Sus scrofa: one gene and its partners. The protein of the gene in region 2 interacts with the protein of the main gene of each other region in a pairwise test. Links are inferred from orthologs where the notes say so. Each region holds a gene or a part of one and is shown on either strand. Other genes may lie near its edges. The genes, in order: VIM, PNMA5 and CCNC.

The links.
Region 1: the proteins of PNMA5 (region 2) and VIM interact in binary tests that used the Homo sapiens proteins (3 or more experiments, as listed by UniProt). The link is inferred for Sus scrofa from reciprocal best matches to the Homo sapiens genes PNMA5 and VIM.
Region 3: the proteins of PNMA5 (region 2) and CCNC interact in binary tests that used the Homo sapiens proteins (3 or more experiments, as listed by UniProt). The two-hybrid records come from large-scale screens. The link is inferred for Sus scrofa from reciprocal best matches to the Homo sapiens genes PNMA5 and CCNC.

What each region holds. Positions count from the first base shown.
Region 1 is NC_010452.4:43,522,841-43,526,490, forward strand, and holds the end of VIM (vimentin), read left to right. Parts: intron 1-315; coding exon 316-536; intron 537-997; coding exon 998-1,041; intron 1,042-1,733; coding exon 1,734-1,819; intron 1,820-2,970; coding exon 2,971-3,012; 3' UTR 3,013-3,332; downstream 3,333-3,650. UniProt on the Homo sapiens protein: Vimentins are class-III intermediate filaments found in various non-epithelial cells, especially mesenchymal cells. Vimentin is attached to the nucleus, endoplasmic reticulum, and mitochondria, either laterally or terminally.
Region 2 is NC_010461.5:123,997,614-124,001,363, forward strand, and holds PNMA5 (paraneoplastic antigen-like protein 5), read left to right. Parts: upstream 1-1,321; 5' UTR 1,322-1,423; coding exon 1,424-2,734; 3' UTR 2,735-3,588; downstream 3,589-3,750.
Region 3 is NC_010443.5:66,489,754-66,493,403, forward strand, and holds part of CCNC (cyclin-C), read right to left. Parts: intron 3,269-3,650; exon of another isoform or gene 3,243-3,268; coding exon 3,136-3,242; intron 2,442-3,135; coding exon 2,357-2,441; intron 2,138-2,356; coding exon 2,068-2,137; intron 1-2,067. UniProt on the Homo sapiens protein: Component of the Mediator complex, a coactivator involved in regulated gene transcription of nearly all RNA polymerase II-dependent genes.

The DNA of each region.
Region 1 (3,650 bases), on a different chromosome or scaffold from region 2:
GGTTAAGGATCCTGCATTGTCACTGCCATGGCTTGGGTTCAGTCCCTGGCCTGGGAACTTCTCTATGCCACGGGCACAGCCAAAAAGTAAATAAATAAAAAATGAAAAGAATTTGGAAATCCAGAGGTTTTAGTTTACATACATTATGGCTTCCGCTAGGAAGAGGATTTGGTACTTAGATTTTCTGCCTAAAATTGGAGTATTTCCCATTTGCTGCCGGGGTCCCATTTGCACATGGTCTAGAAATGGTTGAGGGAATGGCTGGTTTTTTTATGCCCCTGGGGAAATAACACTGGCAGCCTTTCTCATCTGCAGAACGAGTCTCTGGAACGCCAGATGCGGGAAATGGAAGAGAACTTTGCCGTGGAAGCTGCTAACTACCAAGACACTATTGGCCGCCTGCAGGATGAGATTCAGAACATGAAGGAAGAGATGGCCCGTCACCTTCGTGAATACCAAGACCTGCTGAATGTCAAGATGGCTCTCGACATTGAGATTGCCACCTACAGGAAGCTGCTGGAAGGAGAAGAGAGCAGGTGGGGACCGGGGGTGGGTGGGAGTGAATTCCTGGCTGCCATTTGCATCAAGCTTCTCGCTTTCTATGCATTATCTCATTCAAACTTTACAACCTTTCCTCAAGGTAGCTCCTTGCCACTTTGTACAGATGAGGAGCCTTCAGTTTAGAGAGAGTGAGTTATGCCTTGGTCCTAGTCAGTTAATCCACTCTCAGAGCTGGGATTTGAACCTATGATGCTGTGAAAACCAACAGTCACTCTAGAATCCCTCCACTCTAGAATACTGCCAGCCCCTTGGAGAAAAAGGCTTGGAGTAAAATATTTAAGTGTCCTAATGAGATCAAACATGGGTTAATGCTTCTGAAGCAAATCATTCACCTGTGAATTTATGAGTCGATTTTCCTATTTGATGAAAACAAACATATACATTTGTTCCTTGTTGTCTTCCAAAAATTTTACTGTTTTTCTTTGTCTCTTTGTAGGATTTCTCTGCCTCTTCCAAATTTTTCTTCCCTGAACCTGAGGGGTAAGCATTTGGTTGTCCTATATGAAAAATTTTAGCAGCTTGTAACTGTTCTGTTTATAAAGCACTCATTTTTTAAATGATACCTGAAAAATACCCCACAAGAGAACATTTTGTAAGACAGCCATAATTTTCTTTTTTTTTTCTTTATTTTCCTTTTTTTTTTTTTTTTTTTTTTTAATGGCTGTACCTGCAGCAAATGGAAAGTATGCTAGGGGTTGAATCAGAGCTGCAGCTACAGGCCTAAGCCACAGCAAACACCAGATCTGAGCCACAGCTGCTACCTACACTGCAGCTAGCAGCAATGCTGGATCCTTAACCAACTGAGCGAGGGCAGGGAAGGAACCCGCATCCTCATGCACACTATGTCAGGTTCTTAACACACTGAGCCACAGTGGGAACTCCCAGCCACAATTTTCAAACCCCAGTGCTGTCTTACATTCTGTACTTTCAGGTAAATTGAAATCCATTTTTCTTCCTCCTGATGGAGGAGACAGTGAAGCTGTCCATCTCATTGACTATCCCGAGTGGTGTCGGTCCCCTAGGTTTTAAAATAGGTGACAGTCTTTAGAATTATCACAGGAATAGTGCTTTAAACAATCACAAACAGAAGTCCTCATTCCTTGGACCAAGTAGTTTCTGGTCTTTTTAAACATTTCGCTTTTACTCACTGGGGGCCTGTTTTCTTTATCCAGAAACCAATCTGGAATCCCTCCCTCTGGTTGACACCCATTCCAAAAGGACACTTCTGATTAAGACGGTTGAGACCAGAGATGGACAGGTGGGTATCTTTAAATCAAAACGGGAGTAACCTCAGACAGGCACTGAGAAATGTTTCAATCAGTAAGTCTGTCTCAGATACAGCCAGTGAATTTGGGAGGTTTCAGTTTCACCCATGCGTCCTAGAAGAATAGGCCTGTTCTATCCAGTATTACACACGGCCAGCTAATTCTTTGGCTTCTAGATCTGAAGGTGAGATGGTAATCTACCTACAGTTCAAAATTAGTGACTTGCTTTGGTGCGTAATTTGAAAGAGGAGTGCAGCATCCTTAAGCTACTGCCTCATCTGGCTTCATTAGACTACTTTCAGTATTAGGAATATTTTGATCGTGGCTATAAGGCCTTCCCTGGACACTCCTAGACCCTGTTAGAATATAATACAAGGACTTTCCATATGATTAAGTAATTTCTTATTACCTCTCTCTGGCAAGAAACAGTTGAAGTGTATTGTAATCTTTATAATCTTCCTTTGCACATAAAATATACTTGGTGTACATTTTAACTGGCTTTAGTTGCTTTTAAATTTTGTTGCTTATGACAATTACAGCATCCTTCTGTATAAACACAGTATTTTTTTTTTTTTTTGGCCTTGCCTGTGGCATATGGAAGTTCCCCAGCCTTGAACTGAACCCCTGCCACAGCAGCCACCGAGCTGCTGCAGTGACAACACCAGATCCTTAGCCACTAGGCCACCAGGAAACGCCAATATAGTATTTTTGTTGTTGTTGTTGTTTCCTTTTTTGCCCACCCCGTGGCATATGGAACTCCTGGGCCAGGGATCAGATCCGAGCCGCAGTTGCGACAATACCAGATCCTTAACCCACTGTGCTAGGCTGGGGATCAAACCTGTGTCCCAGCGCTTGCAAGGTGCTATCCATCCCGTTGTGCCATAGCGGGAGCTCCCAATATAATATTTTTTTTTTAAGTTTCTTTTTTGAAGTCATCACATTTATTGGATACCTATTTTGCTTGTATAGGTCTGTCTTCCCCCTTACCGTGCATGATTCTTGTCATGCAGGACCAACATAATCTTCCAACTTTCACAATAAATTATATACATTTCATAGGATTTTTCTTTGACATGCTTTCTGGGGTAACTTAATCATAGGTATGTAGCATTATGTTTGACCAGAGTCCTCTTTTGCTTATCAGGTTATCAATGAAACTTCCCAGCATCACGATGATCTGGAATAAGAACTGCATGTACTCTGTGCAGCGAAATATTACCAGCAAGAATAAAAAAGAAATCCGTATCTTCAAGAAATAGCTTTCAAGTGCCTTTCTGCAGTTTTTCAGGAGCGCAAGATAGGTTTGGAATAGGAATAAGCTCTAGTTCTTAAAAACCAACACTCGTAAAAGATTTAGGAAAAAAGTTTACAACATAATCTAGTTTACCGAAGAAGCCTTGTGCTAGAATACTTTTTAAAAAGTATTTTTGAATACCATTAAAACTGCTTTTTTCCATCAAATATCTGACCAACTTGTTTCTGCTTCAATAAATCTTTGGAAAACTCTTTTGGTGTCTTACTTATTTGATAATAGTGAAACAGTGCTCTAAATTTTAGGAGAATAGGTGTTTGGGTTAAATATTTTTTTAGTCTTCTTGGTTAAACTGCCTCGAAAGTCAGGGTTAGGTTAACTTTAAAAAATTCAACTTTATGCTTGAAGCATGATTGTTGTTCATTTGGTCATTTTAGACCTCACTTTGCAGTTAAGTTCTTTTTTAAACCTACAAATAGATGTTATACAATAAAATAACCTATAAACAAAATGATAGGTCTTTTCATAAAATGAGTCCAGCTGGGTCTGTGTTCATGTATAACTTCAGTTCT
Region 2 (3,750 bases):
ACTTCCGTGGCGGTGGGGCTTGGTGTGAGGGGTTGAGCTTAGGTGGGGTGGAGCTTAAGATGGAGTTTGTGCCTCAGTAGGAGTGGGACTTGGCAGTGAGTTTGAGATCCGGGTGGAACTGAGGAAAGGTAATAACCTGCCCTAGCACTGAGTACCAGTTGAGCAGTTTCTTGTATTCCAGTACCAGAATACTTGTGGGCACCTCTGTATATAGAATTGGCATAGGCAGAGCAGCAGCATGTCAGCCAGAACCATAGCAAAATACCTGTGCTTGGCCTTGGACAGATCCAGTGAAGCAGTACCCACCACCCCAGGACCAGAAACTGCCTGACTGGCCAGATCCCCAGGGCAGGCCTAGTGTTGAGTGCGGGTGAAATCCCCTCATCTGCACTGTGAATGGGTCCCTAATCAGATGGTAAATAGCTGGGAGGTGGGCCTGTGTTGCAGAGGCTTCTGTAACCCTGATGAAAAGCAGGAGGGGCGGGGTTGCCTGCCTGCCAAGGGTCTGGCAGAGTAAGGTCAAAGCCAGGGTGAGCATTGTCTGTTTCCTACGGTGTGGTACTGGAGACCCTTTTGGAGTCCCTTTTCTGTCCTTGCTTCTAGCTTCTACACAGTTTGAAACTAAGTTCTTTTTCAGTACTTGATCCTTGCTGCCCACCCCCCCCCATTCCCCTCCCTCTTCATGGGTTGGAGGCCAGTGACATCACCTGTTGCTCCTTAGCCTTTCCGCATGACACCCCCTGTGAAACCCGTAGTCCACATGCTTCATCCATGGCAACACTGCAGCTTGTCACACGTTCTCCATACCCACCAGCTTCAATGCCCTGTGCAGCGCTCCAGCCATCTTTCTCCTTTGTCAGGCATATCCTGAGAAAGGAGGGAACGCCACATCTCTGTCCTCTAAACTTTGCCCCAGCAGTAAGGGTACCAGGTGCCCTGGGCCTGCACAGCCCCGAGCCAGGGAGTGGGACAGCCTCTGGTCTTCTCCTAGTTGGAGAGCTTTGAAAGTGTTCCCAGGCATTAGGCCCCACCTCCTGAGGCTGGATTTTTCACTGCAGGCACTTCCAGCACAGACAGTAGGGTCTTCGGACTTTGAGGACGAACCCACGGCAAGCAGAGGTCAGCAGGGAAAGAGTGAGGTGGGGGGAGCTTGGCCTGCAGAGACCCCTCCACCAAATGACTGGGGGAGCCCTGTGAGGCAGAGAATGAGGTTCTGTGAGTGGAAGTGGGGGCAGAGGAGGGGCTTTTGGTGGGGATGGGAGGGTGGCCATTAATGATGCTCTCACCCCATTCACATTATAGGCTGTGGAAACCCAGGACGATTCTGCCTTCATATTTGGCCTTGACTTGCCTGAGTCCTGATCAAACTCTGTGAGCTGGTCCCTGCACCTGGTATTAGATCAGTTCATAGAAAGTGGGAGCAATGGCTGTGACACTGTTGGAGGATTGGTGCAAGGGGATGGACCTGGACCCCAGGAAGGCCCTGCTGATTGTGGGGATCCCCGTGGAGTGCAGTGAGGCTGAAATTAAAGAGACCGTGAAGGCAGGCTTACATCCCCTGTGCACCTACAGGGTGCTGGGCAGAATGTTCAGAAGGGAAGATAATGCTAAGGCAGTTTTCATTGAGTTGGCTGATACTGTCAATTATGCTATGATTCCCAGAGAGATACCAGGAAAGGGAGGTGCCTGGGAAGTGGTTGTGAAACCCCGCAGCTCAGATGATGAGTTTATGAATAGACTCAACTACTTCCTGAAAGACGAGGGCCGGAGAATGGTAGATGTGGCCAAGACCCTGGGATATAGCACTCCCACTGAGGGCATGGAGCCAGAGGCCTCGGATCAGGTCAGGTCACCAGCCTTGCAGCCTCTGAAAGAAAATGTGTGGTACCGAAAACTCAGAGTGTTTTCGGGAAGCACTTTCCCAGGCCCAGACGAAGACAGCTTTGAAGGCTGGCTGGAGCACGTCACTGAGTTGATGCAACTCTGGCAGGTGTCAGAGGTCGAGAAGAGGCGCCGTCTGCTGGAGAGCCTTCGCGGCTCTGCCCTATCTGTCGTGCGGGTGCTCCGGGCCAATGATGAATCTATGACCGTGGAGCAGTGTCTGGACGCCCTGAAGCAAATTTTTGGGACTAAAGAGGACTGCAGAACCTCACAATTTAAGTTCCTCCAGACCTTCCAGAAATCGGGAGAGAAAATCTCTAGTTTTTTGCTACGGTTAGAGCCCCTGCTGCAGAAAGCCGTGCAAAATAGCCCCTTGTCCGTGAGAAGCACAGACATGATTCGCCTGAAACACATCCTGGCTCGGTCCTGCATGAGCACCAGCCTCCGGGCCAAGTTAGAGCTCCTGGATCAGCGAGGTCGTGCTCCCACTTTCCTCGAGTTAATGCAGGTCATTCGAGATGAAGAGGAGTGGGAGGCCACCATGGGCCTGACGAAGGAGAGGCAAGTGGGGAGGGGCCGCAGGGCCTCCGGCAGGCCGGTGCTGGTGGAAGCCAGTGTCCCAATGCCTCAGGTCGTGGTGCAGACGGGGCCCTTTAACGAGAGCAGCACTCAGACCATCCAGGAAGGGATTAGCCTGTCCCTGAAGCGCAGGCGCATGTCATGCTGCTACGGTAGTGGGGAGGGAGGCCACAGCCAGGCAGCATGTCCTAGCGTGGAGAACCAAGCTCCAGCAAACAGAAGCCTCAGTTTGCAGCAGCAGAGTCGGGAAACGAGATGGGGGCTGGGGCAATGAGCCACCCCGAGCCCTAGGAAGCGTAGGCTCAGTACTCCAGGCACCCCTTCCCCTAGCAGGCAACTAAAATATTTTAATGAGATGAAGGAGCAGCCCACACCAAGAGCGGGGGACTTGAGGGGGAGAGAGTGGCAGGGCAGCCAGGCCCAGGCCGAGCCCCCTTGTCTTCTGCCAGCTCAGAGGGGCTCTACCAACCAAGCCCCATGCAGCCCAGTGAGGGCCAGTCAGCACAGGGCCTGGGAGAGGCACTGGCAATGCAAGCAGGGGGCCAGCACACTCGGCAGGTGGGGTGGCCAAGCCTCGGAGAGAGACCCCAAGGCAGAAGAGGCTGAAGAAGGTGTGGTGGGGGGCTCCGGCATGGACCCTGGCATCTGGCCACTCCTTAATGCCCAGAGGGTAGGCTCTGAGCTGATGAAGCTGATGGGCCCCCAGGCCATGTGGGGCCCAGGGGAGCCTCCCCCGGGGCCAGCCCTTCTGGAAGGAGCCAGCGCTGGTGAGGAAGAGCTGTGGGGCGGAGAAGAGATGCCCCGGAGGGGAGCCCGCAGGGTCCAGCCCGTCTTCAGGATCATCTACACCGCTCTAGGGGAGCCCCAGGAAGGCAGCACCCTGGAGCCTCTGCGCAAGTGAGGGGAGGAGACCCAGAGGCCCTGGGAGCCCAGCACCAGCCTACAGGCAGCCTCCTCCCCCTTAAGCTGGAAGGGCTGTGGGGACAAGGTCAGCAAAGTCTGTGCGGAGAAGGTCTCCGTGTCAGAGGCTCAGCTTGAGAGGCAGGGTGCAGGGTACCCTAGTGGGCACAGCTGCTTTGGTGCGAGTGGGTGTGCAAGCGCAAGGAAACTTTAGTTCCCAAGCAGGAGCAGGAGGGAGAGGGCGGGGAAAGAGGACGGGGAGGAGGAAGAGGAGGGGTGGGAGAGTGGAGGAGAAGATGCAGGAGGAGAAGGAAGAAGAGGGAGGAGGATGTAGAAAGAGGAGGAGGGACAAGGAGGGGAGGAGACGGGAAGGAGGAGAGAGGATTGGTG
Region 3 (3,650 bases), on a different chromosome or scaffold from region 2:
TTTAGGACCATTCCTGTGGCATATGGAAGTTCCCAGGCTAAGGGTTGAACTGGAGCTGCAGCTGCCAGCCTATGCCACAGCCACAGCCAGGCGGGATCCAAGCCGTATCTACAACCTACACCGCAGCTCATGGCAATGCTGGATCTTTAACCCACTGAGCAAGGCCAGGGATGGAACCCAACTCCTCATGGACACTAGTCAGGTTCATAACCCCCTGAGCCACAATGGAACTCTCTAAAAATAACTAAAATTTATGAGGTGTTTCATCTTACATACAGTCTCATTTCATTTTACTAACTTTATAGGATTACTAAACTCTTTATTTTAAAGCTGAAAAAAAATCAAGAATTGGTTCCTTATCCAACAAAAGAAACTAAACCATATATAGTTTATTCAAAAACCCACAGTGGTGGGGGGAGACGGCACCTGTGTATGCCTGTGTATATATTTATATTTACATTTAAACCTCAAACTGTAATAACTGAAACTGGAAATTAAATGCCTGAGACATCTTTTTAATGTCTTTCAATACAATTTTCACACAAGCAGACAAAACACAGATAGATTTGGTCATAAAGATAAAAAAAAATGCTATAACTGAATATGAAAGGATACATTTTTTCCTAGGGATAATTCTTTACCTTAAAATTCTTAAAGCAAAAGCTTTCACTTAGTAAATCATAAAATAGGGTTATACTCAGCAAGTCATGTAGCAAAAGATATTGTTACAAGGATATAACTAGGATAAAACTCCAAGTTAATTTATAAAAGTAAAAGTTTATAAAGATTTGATCTTGGTTACCCATATTGGCTGTCCTTCAGCCACATAAAATTATATGGTGATATTTGGGAAAACCACCCCATAATACAGACCTTTTACAATCACTTTCTTAAAAAACAACAGGGCTGGTTCTGCCTCCTTAAATTACCACTTACAATTACATTCAATATTAAAGGAAGCAATTACTATTCTGAAGACATCATCTAAAAATAGAAACATAATACATAGGATTCATATTACCTAAGATAACATGAATTATTATGAACACCAGTCAATACGTGCTATTAGTACCTGGATTTTAGCTGAGCTCTCTCAAAAAATACTGAAAGGGTAAATAAAGTGATCCAAGATTTGGTCTCAGCTGCAGGTTCCCATCTCTCTTCTCTTTCTCACCTAATTTCTCAACCTTCACAACCCAAATTATTCCTTGCTAGAAGGAGTATATCTGCAGCTACTCTGGTTCTCCTAGGCAACCAATCATTAGGAGGCAGGAAGGAAAAACAGCAGGACATAGGACACATATGGAGTTTGAGAAGGAAGAACATTCTCAAGTTATAGTGGATAAGCTGTGGCAATTATGAAATACTCCTTAGAACCAAACAATAAATATCTTAAAGGTAGTAAAGCAAAGCAGTTAAGAGTATGGGAGGAGTTCCCGTCGTGGCACAGTGGTTAAGGAATCTGACTAGGAACCATGAGGTTGCGGGTTCAATCCCTGGCCTTGCTCAGTGATTTAAGCACTGAGCTGTGGTGTAGGTTGCAGACGTGGTTCGGATCCCTTGTTGCTATGGCTCTGGCATAGGCTGGAGGCTATGGAATTAGACCCCTAGCCTGGGAATCTCCATATACTGTGGGAGTGGCCCTAGAAAAGGCAAAAACAAACAAACAAAAAAAAAAACAAAAAAACAAAAAAAAGGAGAATAGGATTAGAAGCTAGACTCCTAGGGTTAAAATACCCTGTCACTTATCAGCTCCTTAATCTTTTTGTGTCTCAGTTTCTTCACTTATAAAATGATATTACAAATATATACCCCATAGTTTGTTATGAGGATTAAAATATTTGTAAGAGGACTTAGAATAGCACTTGGCACATAGTAAAGTGTTACATAAGTGCTTTTTAACTGAATATATAAAATAAAGATATGCATATACTTCTTTGATTTTGTACAAATTTCAATATTTTATGTAAATCATCATCTTATTATTTTTACACAGGTAATGTGAAAACTGGGTTTAACCAATACCGTTGACTGTACTTTGATGAAGAACAGAAAATTAGTTCATACCTCTACTTTGGATGCCAAAAACACACATGTAGGAGCCATTAATACAGGATCTATACTTTTCAGAGAATACCTAAAAATACAATTAATTAAACAAAGTTAAGCAATATTCATAGACCAAACACAAATGAAAATAGAATTCATACAGAAAACATCTATATGGGAAAAAAATCAGGCCAACTCTATAGCAAACACATGATTTACTTACATAAGTTTCATCCTCATTACATAAGAGTTTCAAATACATGATATTTTAAATACAAATAACAGTCCCAAAATAACACAGCCCTACCTGGCATAGAATCTCTTGAAATAGACCGTAGCAGTGGCAATAACTTGTTGTCTTAATTTAAGATGTTCACCTAATGCTTGGATAACTAAAAGAAAAATAATAATAATAAAATCTGATATCAATATAATATTAACACTGAACAATAACTTCCATGCAGTTAAATCATGACTATATTCATTTTTAACAAAGAGAAAAATTTACACATGCTATAATGCTCTACGTGGATCACAGTGGTCTAGTACTAGGATTACAAATTTGTTAAGGCTAAATGATAGGTATTTCCCCTCTTATCAGACACCCATCAGTTTTACAAAGTTCATAAAAAATCCAAAATGAATCCTCAAAACAACAGAGAGGTAGGTTTGCATAAGAGTGAACTGAGGCTTAGAAAGATCCTGGACAAAGCCACCACATGGCACAGCAAAGACCTTCTAATTCCAAATACCCTTCTCTCCAAAGCAAACTTGTAAGATAGGAATGACCAATACAGGATGTCAATCCAAAGAATTATTTATCCTCAAAGTACTTCATTTTAGCCAATCTTAAACTGGGTTTAATGATGCATTATAACTGTTTAGGAAGATTAACACTTTTAGATTGTCTTGAGTATCTCTGACATATAAGTCACTTTAAAAAAATACATTTAAGTTATAAAGAGAATACACATGTTAAAAAAAAAATAAAGGGACTAAAACAGTCACAAATTACTACAGAAAAACACCTTAGTTCAGAGTTAACCAACTATACTATTTAAACCAATTTAAAAGAAAAAAGTTTACCATTTGTAAAAAATATCTGTAATTTCCAATACTCTTCTTCTGAGAGAAACTTTAAGTCCTTTTGGCGTTCCTTCAACAGATCTTGTTTATCCAAAATCCATTGCAAACTAAAAGAAGCAAAGATTCAGACAACCTATAGAAAATCAACTAACAAAGTCACAGAAAACATTCTAAGAATGAACAAGTTTTAGTCTTAGTACAAAATACAAAAAGTAACCTTGAAAGATGTTTTTCACATTTCTTGAAACTCTGACGTTAGAATTATCTCACTAATAAGTGTAAATTAAATGTGCCCTGAAAAAAAAATCTGCTCTAATCTTCTCTTCCTTCTCAGTCTGTCTTGTCTCTCTTCCCACTCCCACATGTCACTTTTATAGTGTATTTCACTGATTCTAAGACTCTGGTATCAAGATGCATCTTTGGTGATCCTAGCATTTTAATAAGCAGTAATGTTTACACTTTTCTGGTGATAAATAATGGTGACATTATTTGACACCAGGTGATGGTGGCTTAGA